2 linked regions of the Neodiprion lecontei genome follow. The protein of the gene in region 2 purifies or fractionates together with the protein of the main gene of each other region. This does not show direct contact. Links are inferred from orthologs where the notes say so. Each region holds a gene or a part of one and is shown on either strand. Other genes may lie near its edges.

The links.
Region 1: the proteins of cyclin-dependent kinase 20 (region 2) and peptidyl-prolyl cis-trans isomerase FKBP8 purify together in Homo sapiens (affinity purification with mass spectrometry; 5 studies listed by BioGRID and IntAct, with this or other methods). This does not show direct contact. The link is inferred for Neodiprion lecontei from reciprocal best matches to the Homo sapiens genes CDK20 and FKBP8.

Annotation. Positions count from the first base shown.
Region 1 is NC_060264.1:8,164,280-8,170,122, reverse strand, and holds peptidyl-prolyl cis-trans isomerase FKBP8, read right to left. Parts: upstream 3,879-5,843; 5' UTR 3,706-3,878; intron 3,669-3,705; exon of another isoform or gene 3,380-3,668; intron 3,293-3,379; 5' UTR 3,281-3,292; coding exon 2,972-3,280; intron 2,836-2,971; coding exon 2,636-2,835; intron 2,398-2,635; coding exon 1,795-2,397; intron 959-1,794; coding exon 940-958; 3' UTR 655-939; downstream 1-654. Other genes in the region: peptidyl-prolyl cis-trans isomerase 5, read left to right, coding at 5,303-5,395, 5,804-5,843. UniProt on the Homo sapiens protein: Constitutively inactive PPiase, which becomes active when bound to calmodulin and calcium. Seems to act as a chaperone for BCL2, targets it to the mitochondria and modulates its phosphorylation state.
Region 2 is NC_060264.1:35,207,118-35,212,436, reverse strand, and holds cyclin-dependent kinase 20, read left to right. Parts: upstream 1-2,194; 5' UTR 2,195-2,553; coding exon 2,554-2,739; intron 2,740-2,809; coding exon 2,810-2,998; intron 2,999-3,249; coding exon 3,250-3,486; intron 3,487-3,782; coding exon 3,783-4,010; intron 4,011-4,075; coding exon 4,076-4,234; 3' UTR 4,235-4,773; downstream 4,774-5,319. Other genes in the region: inactive selenide, water dikinase-like protein, read left to right, coding at 173-417, 671-823. UniProt on the Homo sapiens protein: Required for high-level Shh responses in the developing neural tube.

The sequences.
Region 1 (5,843 bases), about 27 Mb from region 2:
AAAAATCTATATTTTGATGATAACACATTGCGCAAAAAAAGAATTTTTAGCTAGATATCACGACTATATTTTTTCAGGTCGTGTAAGAGAAATTTCTAGTTTGAATAATGTTACCTAATAATGTAGGTACTAGAGGCAAAAATTTAGTTTTAGAAAGTGACAAAACTTCAGTATTAATATTGTAATATATAAAAATGAATGCATATAAATTTTATTGATAAATTATTTAAAATCGTGTATTACATTGGTGGAATGTTGAATATGAAATAAAAATAATATATACATAATTGCACAATGATTTTCCTACATTTTTGCATTTCCGAGCATTGATCTATAAAAACTTATTGCTTTGAAACGGTACAAAGAATAAGTAACGGCACCAACAGTGGGACACTACTTGGTAGTGGGACGCTTTGCTATTTCATTGTAATAATGAGTGGAAATTTTAATTGTTTCAATTTTTGTTCATTGAAACAATTGAAATTTCCACTTATTATTGCGTTGAAATAGCCAAGTGTCTCAGTACCGGGTAGGGTCCCACTACTGGTGCTGTTATATGTGAAGATTTTCATTGAACTTAGACAAATACTCATTACCTTCAATATTCCAGAAACTTCTCTGTTAAAATAATGTAACAAGTACAATACTCAGAGATTAAATTTAATCAATGATTTATTTGGTTAATTAATATTCACACTTGATTTAATTCTAAGATGCCTATTATTTAACAAGTATTGTATTAGTTTTATCACTCAATAGTCAGTCTATAACATTGAATTTAACGACAGTTTAGTTGTCCAGTATAACTCCACTTTAAACGAAAACTTCTCGAGCAACACAGAGTACTCAGTTTCATATGCGCAATTGCACAAGACTCTTCTTGCCAAGCAGTGATATCTCCAAAAAATCCAATCGCACTAATGTTGTCAATTCATTTAGTCAACTGCAGCTAATTTTCCTTTATTAATGATGATTCAATTATTTTAAGCATCACATAACACGATAGATAACAAATTTGTCAAGGGCAAATGTGCACAGATAATGCACGCCATTGTTTTCAATGTAGAAGAAAATAATGATTTTAGTTTACTATACAATGCGTACAGTGTTTAGTTCGCTTGTATGTATAATTCTCGTATCAAAAGTTTTTTTTCACTTTGTTTTATTCAGATTGCATGCAGAGTAAGGTTAATTACAATTCGTTTATAATAATTGTTGTTAATCTATGATGTTTCAAGGAATGTTCGGTTTTGCTACTAATTTGATTTGTTACAAAATTATGTCTTTTTTAGAGAGTTAACCCTGAATCCCTTTACATGTAAAGTATTTGTCTTTAAATATTGAAAAAGAAATGCTACGTTTTTGGTACGCAATATGATTCTCGATATCAATCATAAATCTCTTTCTGATAAATGCAAGTAAACCACAATCATAAGAAAACCGAGAATATATTAAGGTAACATCAATACCTCTTATAGAATAAACACCAAAATATATATCGTATTATAGACAAAGTGAACAAAAATTCAATAAGTTAGAATATCAGATTTGTTGTCACAAGGACACTGTCGGCTCTTATAAAGCATCAAAAATGACTTTTTTCTCAAAATAAGTAATTCAATAAAAGTCAAATAATCATGTTGTACAGAGTAACACACACAAGGCCAACATAAACATTTTTTCTAATTTTCATTCATGATATCCATCGGCTTCCATCTTTGTAGCAAGTAAAATATTGTGAGATGTACGTTATGTATTGAGAGTATGATGTATTAAGTTTAGAAAATGTTATACCTGTACACAATAACTCCTGCTATAGCAGCAACAGCCCCTCCAATCAAACTCCATGCTATAGTGGAAGGTGTAGTCTTTGGGTTTTGATTATTGGTGTTTTTGTTTGGCGAACCATTTTGCTTGTCTGTTCCGAGCATCTTTTTGTACAAATTTTTTTCATGTTTGGCATCTTTGGCTGTTTTTTCTTTCAAAATAGCCAATTCTTGCTGGATTGCTTTCGAGTCGGGATCCAGTTTTGCAGCTTGTAGCAAAATTGCATAGGCAGCAGCACGTTCCCCTTTATGTTGTAAAATTTTACCTTTCCTAAACAACGCCTTGACATTTTTTGGCTGACATCTCAGGACATTTTCCACACTTTTCAATGCTGCGTCATATGCCTCTGTTTTCATTTGCGCTGCTGCTAGGTTATTACAAACTTTCATACGATCTTCTAGCAAAGCTTGGAGGTCTGCGTTACTTATAGACTCTTCCTGATCACCCTGGGGATAATTTATCCCACCTTTAGTTTCATCCAAATAATCCAAAGCTCTTCTATAGCATTGAACTGCAAGCGATGCTTCATCTCGAGAATACCACCAATTTCCTCGCTCCCGTTTTTTATTCCTATGCAACGTGGAATATTTTATGAAATAATAATAGTATATTCGATTACATGAATTGCCATTCCGTTTATACAAGTGACAGAATAATCTTATGGTAAGAGTGCGTATTATTTGATTTTTTCTTCCAAGTTGGAAAGCGACGGGAATGAATTTAGAGAAAAAATGGAATGAGAAAGATTGCAAAAATCCTAATCAAGCCATGTCAATTAGCTTCCAAGTCTACAAACTCATTTGATTACCCAATATTTTTCCTTTGAGCAATGCCCAAGGTTTCAATTTCTGGTTCCATTTCAACAGACAACAACTCGATAGTATAAAAAAGTTTAGCACCACCAGGTATGTCTGGTTCCCTTCCTAGGTCGCCATAACCAAACCGAGCTTCAACTTCAACTTCAGCAACTTCTTCAACATCCATTAATGCAATAACCAGATCTAGTCCCTGTTTTATGCATATATAAATTATTTGGCATAAAAGAAAAATTATTGAATTATTCCAGTACGCCATAAAAACACTTTTGTATGACTGTTAACAGTTTCTATATATCTTTAATTCAATAATTGCCAATGTATCATACCTGTATCACTTCGACATCTCCCAATTGAATGGTGAATTTTTCATACTTTTCAACGACAGTTCCATCTTCCAATTTTCCAGTCAGATTAATGCTACAAATATCTGACCGATTTGGCCTTGTTCCTTTCTGTCCAGCTTTGACTACCTTCTTTTTCAATTGACCAACTCCTAGTACATCCATCCATTCATCTTCTTCGTGATCTTCAAGCGTAGCTTTTGTTAAAGGATCTTTCAGGTCAACATCAAAGTTGAGCTCATTCTGAATGAAATCAGCTTGACTGCCAGCGTTATCAACAGTTTCGTTATCCATTTCGACAGTGCTCTAATGACAAGAGAAAAGTCGGATGCAATTGTAAAGAGCAATTGTATATACACGTAAATCATCGTGTCAAGTAATAACATTCCATACTTCTATTTTTTCGTAGATTATGATAATCCGGCTAACAGTTACCGGCAAATTGTTATTACGAGGTAAAAATTTGACGACTGATTTTGGTTATGTTATGATTCGTCACGGTCGTTTTCATAAACAAAGCAAGAATTTTTCAAAAGCGAGTAAAACAAAGAATGCCGAACTGAACTTATTATTTCACCGAAGTAGGAGCACAGAATATTAGACGAATTGTGCAAAATCATCATTCAACATCACGCACGATATTGAGTTTCTATGAATATAACCAGACAGACACAGGGATAAAAAAATTATACGCGAGTATGGAATTTGTCTATACGTACCTTTACTGGTTCGGAATATTCACACGAACGGCTCGTTGGGTTATGTAGAAGATTAATATCACAGGTTTTTTCGATAATTATTCGTCAACACCGCGGTCAAACGCACGACCGCGCAGTACACGAGAAATCAACTCGTCTGACAATGAATCATGTATCCGCCTATGGTATCCGCTAGCGCCCGAACCGATCGCTACTGCTAGCAGACGATTTAAACGCCGAACTTTCAAAAGGTACATAAAGTCATCACGAAGAATTCTGTATTGCTCGGCTTATCGTAAAACAAAATAATTGCTGATCAATTAAATGTGTTTGTTCCTTTTCATTTCTATAACCGAAATTTTTCCTTATCTTCAACTAAGATGTTTGAGGAAATCGTATAGTGTGTACGAAGGAGGCAAACTCGGTCTTTCCGAGCCGAGCGTCAGCTTGCAATATAAGTCGTAGGTAAAGCCGAAGATAAATATTGCAAGTACGCGACGTGATAAAACCGTTGCCTCCTTTTTGCACTAAATTCTTCATATAACAAAAGTATGTTATGCGTTTTTTCGCGAAGCACAAAATTGAGGTTAGGGTCGCGTAATGTCAGATTTGATCGTGACAGCGCATGCGTCCAGTAGAGAAAAGACCACTTTTAACTCTGAGGACTTAGAAGTGGTCTTTTCAGTACTCTGCGCATGTGCATTCGCAGATTCATTCGACCATCATAGAAACGGGTACTTTGTCTACGGAAAACACGCATGGAAAAACGCGTAAATCAGGATAGGGTTACATAAAAAGAGTTTCTTTTCTTTGCCATTATCTTTACCTCTCGTCCTCGAACTTGATCTTTGAAAAATGGACATCGGAATTTATTAATTCATTATCGGATTAAATTTACTAAAGATATGTGTCAAACAACAGAAGACATACTGGAACCATACTACGAACGTTTTTTGCTCCAAATAGTCAAGTCTTTACGAAAATATAGGGATAAAAATAACTCATTTGTGTACCGAGAATACATGAAGGTAATTCATATATGAAGGTTTTTGGAATTTAAGATGACTTGACTACACAGTGCGTTGACTATCAAAAATATTTATAAGTTGGTTGAGCTGCTAGACTATGAAGCGTCGTATATAGTCGATAGTTCAGACGTAATATAGAAATTGATCATTTTGTACATTTTTTTTTCTTCAATAGAAACGGTAAACCATGTTTTTTGTTCTCTTCGATACCTTCGCCTGAGATTTAAACTGTTAAATGACGCATAATATTTATTCATTCTCATCGTAAAACAGTGATCAGTTGCCGTGTGTATGTATTTACGTACGTATGCACGTACATACATACGTATATCGATGAAAATACGGCAGCACGACTAAAAAATATTTCTCCAGAGTAGAGAAGCCTTCGTTTCAAAGCGGCACCTCTCTCCTGTAATATACGTGGCAAATGCTCAGCCAATCAGAGCAGACCACCTATTGCTTTTGTCGGATCTGCGTCAAGATCCGTTGTCAGTTTAGGTCGGTATCCCTCGTCCTCGGTTCTCCCGGTTCTCCGCCGCTCCGTCCTGACATTCCTTCACATCTCGATTCGTTATTCTCATTAATAAATAATGAAACTCCTACTAATCTTCGGCCTCGTATGGCTGATTTCATGTTCTGGGAGTACCGCCGACACCCCGAAAGGACCCAAAGTTACAGATAAGGTAAGGGATACCAGTTTGTTGAAATATGTCGGCACGGGGAGACAAAGAAAAAAGTTCAACAACTATGCATTACCAAATAACAATGATGATACGATCCTTCGAAATAAATAGATTCGAATAGATTGCTTCACTTTTTTTTTCAACTCTCAATATTTTTCTTTATAATCGTCACATGCCCGCACAGAAAAATAATGACAAAGACAAAACGAGAGAGACGCCCAATGATTGTTTGCTCTTAATCTTCTTTCTTTTTTTAATTCATCAAGTTTCGGAATAATATCCTTCGGGCGTCAACTTTGATGGAAGCAGTGAAAAAATATTTCCTTGCGGAAACGCACATAATTGTTTATTATTCTATTTTTACTTGAGGTTTATGTGATTGCTAATTAAGAATATCTATTGTTTTAGGTATGGTTTGACATAGAAATTGGCGGTGAACCAGCTGGAA
Region 2 (5,319 bases):
TTGCAATTCTGCACGGTCTGACAACACTACCAGGCATAGAATAATCAGTTGAGGATTCCATGGCGCTCTGATCTTGTCCACTGGCAGTAGTCGTCACAAATTCCTTGTACATGTTCAATTAAAATTCATTTTCATTTTGTAGAGGTTTCAAACGTTTATTTGATTCTTACAGCTGCACGACTCATGCATAAATATAATGCACATGGGGCAACGGACGTCACAGGCTTTGGCCTCTTGGGTCATGCCCAAAACCTGGCCAAACATCAGAAGAATGAAGTTTCATTCGTTATACACAATCTTCCGGTTATTGCCAAAATGGCAGCAGTTGCTAAAGCATGTGGTAACATGTTCCAATTGCTTCAAGGCCACTCCGCAGAGACCAGTGGCGGATTGCTCATCTGTCTTCCACGAGAACAGGTTTGCTATAACCATAATAAAAAATAATCCTAAGAATGAAAAAACTTGGACCTGCTGAATACAGTAGGGCATTTTAGACCGGTAAAATGTCCTAAAGAACGAGCAGGAAGATAAATTTTTGAGGATTCCCAAGCTGCGTCAACAATGTGTTGACTCGGTGTCGTCAACTCTTAAACAATCGAAATTTTTTCTATGTGTACGCTTGTTTCCAATAAGGTGTATCCAAGCTTTATTTTTCGGCGTTTATTTTTAGGCTGCTGCATATTGCAAGGACATTGAAAAACAAGAGGGTTACCAAGCATGGATCATCGGGATCGTTGAGAAGGGTAATCGTACAGCGAGGATAATCGACAAACCGCGAGTCATCGAAGTACCCGCGAAGGAAAAAGATGGTGAACTCTGGTAGAGGAGTGATCTTACGGATGATTATGTTATATGAGTTTGGTATCACGCATTCAAGGTGGTTAGATCTTGCAGTGCTAATAGCTGTTGGTTAGCAATTATTGTAAGATCGCCACGAATGTTGATCGGATTATCGAATAGACGGGAAACCACTTTGTGTTTCCCAAGTTCTTGGGGAGCTTGATAATATCTAATATACGTAAATATATATATATATATATATATGTGTATATATATATATATATATATATGTGTGTGTGTGTGTGTGTGTTTTTATCTTATACAATACATGATCGTAGAACAATTCATGTATAAGATAAAAACGAAGAGGCAAAGGAAAACAACGCCAGTAAAACAAGTTAATGAAGAGATATCATCAGCTAGTATATATACATTATACATATATGAAAAACATAATTACTATAAAATATAAAACAACGGTTTGCTTTTATACAAGACGAAACTGTGATTTTTTATTTTTTATCAAATTTCAACGTTGAGTGCATCTGAAAATGAAAGCAAATTCCAGTTAACGTTGATATTATAATCACTTTCAATTGCATAAACAAAGTGAGAAAAAGAAAATTTTCAATTCAACAGTTACGTGTAATTATGTTGACTTATTTTGACAATGTTGTTCCAAATTCCTGGTTCTTTTCTTTGCTTTCTTTTCTCAATATTTCCTAATCCTTGACTATTAGGGGCGTAGCTATTATGCATATGCTTGTAGAGAAACAATGGAAAGATTAACTCTGTTATAATCAAACCGAAATTTATCTGGCAAGTTGGCGTCGGAACGATGAGGCCGAGTAAACTAATTCCCTATAAATAATAATGAAGAGTGAAAGTGAAGAGAATTAAAGTAAAAGCTTATGGCGAACTAGCCGGGCAAGCTTGGCTAACCAAAATGTATTCTCGTTGAGACAGATGACAAAAATTCTAATTCAAATGCTTATTACACCCAGATTGCAATAAGTTACCGAATCTGGGTAAGTTATAATTTGCATATCTTGATTGAGTCAATTGCTCTAGTTTTCATAAAGTATTTTTCCTTTGTTATTCATAATTAATACCGTACTTTTCTACAGACTCAATTATTCGTACCCTAAAAAACGTTTATGAAATCAGACCATAATAATTCTGCGAGCACATTTGTAAACAGACGTTGGTAAACTTTGAGAATGATGGGGGTGAAATTTGTCATATAACATTTTAATAAAGCGCTACTTTGTCAATAACATAGTCGCCTCTTGGTTATTACCGTTCGCCACTTAATCGTACGACACCCTCCTAACCTAACCGTGATGTGGGTGTGTATGCATATATTAAACTCATACGTCAGCCATGAAATCGATGCACGCGATTGTCAAAATGGTGGTATTGAGACCGTCGACAGGTAAGGGTATCACGAAGGCTACATTTCTGTCGTTGAAACGGTACTTGAATTTTATCCGAAGCGGTCGTACAGCACCAGGAACCACCTCTAATGGGCTTGGATGTGATAAAATAAAACGACCATTGTCATGGTGTTTTGTTTTGAACTATGAGAGGCAGTGTGTCTGTATAGTCTATGTGCAGGTTTCGAGTGGTTGACAAGACAGCGCCACGGTCGGAAGTTCGAAATATATTGCTTGGAAAGCAATTCAAAAATTAAGAATCTGACGCTTGAAATGACGCTTTGAGAATTGAAACGGCAAAGATTTGAAATCGAAGAATCGGATACTAGTTTCCGGGATGGAGAAATACGTTGTGGTCGGAAGGATTGGCGAAGGCGCGCATGGGCTGGTATTGAAAGCTTATCACGTCGAGCAGGGCAATGAGGTGGCGTTGAAAAAAGTATTGCTCAAAAAGATCGACGAGGGTATTCCGACCTCCGTATTACGAGAAGTCAAGACTCTGCAAGAGCTGAGACACCGCAACGTAAGGAATAGCAGCACAACTGCGGGTCAATTTCATAATTTTTAACCATCTTTATGATCGATACCCACAGGTAGTCGAGTTAATCGACGTTTTCCCAGTGGGTTTGGATTTTGTCATGGTATTCGAGTACATGCCATCCGGCGTGTGGGAGATAATTAGAGACTCGGAGAGGCCGCTAAACGATTCTCAAAAGAAAACTTACGTTAAGATGTTGTTCGAGGGTGTATCGTACATGCATGCAAATAATGTCATGCACAGGGTGAGTTTAGAGGGTTTAAACAGCGTCTTCAAACCTACATCCATGAATAACTTACACTGGTTTGAACACTGTTTCAACATTTTATGCACACGCACCAAACTTCAATACCCTAAAAGATGACAGACAGAAGCTCTGACATTGAATTACACAATAGTTAACCGTCTAAATGAATTTAAACAACTATTTATCAAGTTAGGCTGATCAGTTTAATTGGATAAAGAGTTTAAACTCATAAAACTCTGGTTTCCTAGGATTTGAAACCTGCCAACTTGCTTGTGAACCGAGAGGGCGTGTTGAAAATAGCCGATTTTGGTCTTGGCCGATTGGTCTGGGACGACAACAGTCATTCCTATTCGCACCGAGTTGCAACACGATGGTATCGAGCACCGGAATTGTTGTACGGTGCACGTTATTATACTACAGCGGTAGACATATGGGCGGTGGGATGCATTTTCGGAGAAATACTTAACAGCGCGCCTTTATTCGCCGTAAGCGTGGATACAAAAGTTACGAGGTTGAAGTTGGTAATATTATCGCCACGAAAAATCGGGGAAAGAATCACTATTTCCTGAATTTTACAATGATTTTTAAGGGACTAAGATTTCAAAATACGAGTGTGTTTTGTTTTATGACGGTCTACTGAATTTTAGGCAATTTCAAAATGGCGGAATGACGGTTTTTCCACGGCATCAATCGTTACAATAACGTTACTAACTTCAATATGATGATCAGTTGCATCGTCCTTGTACATGCAATTGCGCACCTGTCCTTCGGTCTGTTTTAGGGAGAAACTGACATCGAGCAGCTGGCTATCGTTTTGAGACTGCTTGGCTCGCCGACGACGGAATCTTGGCCCGATTTGACTACTCTGCCAGATTACAACAAAATCACATTCCCGTGCCACAAAGGTTTACCCTGGGATTTGATTGTACCAGATGCGACACCGGATGCTATAGATCTGATCAAACAGCTTCTAGTCTACAACTCATCGAAACGCTTAACTGCCTCATCGGTATGTTAGATTCTTAGCAGTGTAATCAGACAGACTTAATTTTCTTTAACGACTTCTTGTTTCAGGCACTAAAACATTTATATTTTCATTCGCGGCCGTTCCCCTGCCCTGAATCTGCTTTGCCGAAACCAACGCCGGATCATCGGGTTCAAGTAAAGCCGGAAGAAGTTAAAGGAAACTTGAAACGTACAGTCTTGTTTCAAAATTTGTTGAGCATCGTGTAACCTTGCTAATCGTTTTACGTCGATGACTATATTTTGCAAAGATCTTACGACATCCGACTGTTACCCAAGAACTTCTATTTGGCTTACTTCTAGAAAGGCAAAACCGCTAATTCCTTCGTTAAAAATCCCAGAGCGGTAAAACAACTTGGCGTTTTCAATTGATTTTTTCTGAGAATAGAATGCTAAGGCGCGGTCTCTGTGGAAAATAACAAAGAATATCAGTAACAAGACGTGTGAGTGATCGAAGGCAACTGCTAAAGGGCCTCACATTGCATACATTATAAATTTTAATATATAAATGATCAGCAACTTTTTTCCATGTTTATTACTATATTAGGTAATTTAAAATTTATTATTGTACAGTAGTAGCCTAGTGATTATGTGTAGATCTTAGACAATAACCATACGGACAATTATTGATTAAAGATTCGTTAAAGAAATTAAAAAAAAAAAACATAGTCGGCGCGTTAAATTAATTTTTCTTCCGAGATCTGATGATACTAAATAATTACGATATTCTTAGCGAGTGCAATGATATACACGAGAATGTCGATAATGATAAAAGACAGCGAAGTAATACCAGCAATAATAACAGTAACGATGACAATAATAACAGTAACGATGACAATAATGACACTAGAATATAGTTTCACGTGTAAAATGCTTACAATATTGTCTCACAAAATGTGCCATAAATGTGATACAGACAGCCATAATCAAGCCATGAGTAAGGTATACCTATATGAATAATCGTCCATATGGCTGTTGCTTTGACATTTATATCTGCGTTATTGTAATTTGTCAAAAATATATTGTTCAATTTAGTCTACCCTATTGTTGGTTTTCTTCGCGCTGGAGCGACGATAGTATGTATTGAAAAGAATTTCTCTTTCAGTGCGTTGTTGAACCATTTTAAAAATTTTATTTTCGCATTCTTTTGTCCTTTTAGACGATGTTTCATTTATTGCAATAACACCTGTAATCGCGATAATAATTGCAAGCGTTTTGTAATCTTCTGTTTACTTGAATGTACCAGGAATATAGATTTTCTGCAAGAAATAAAAATATTTTGAAGCTAAAATTGA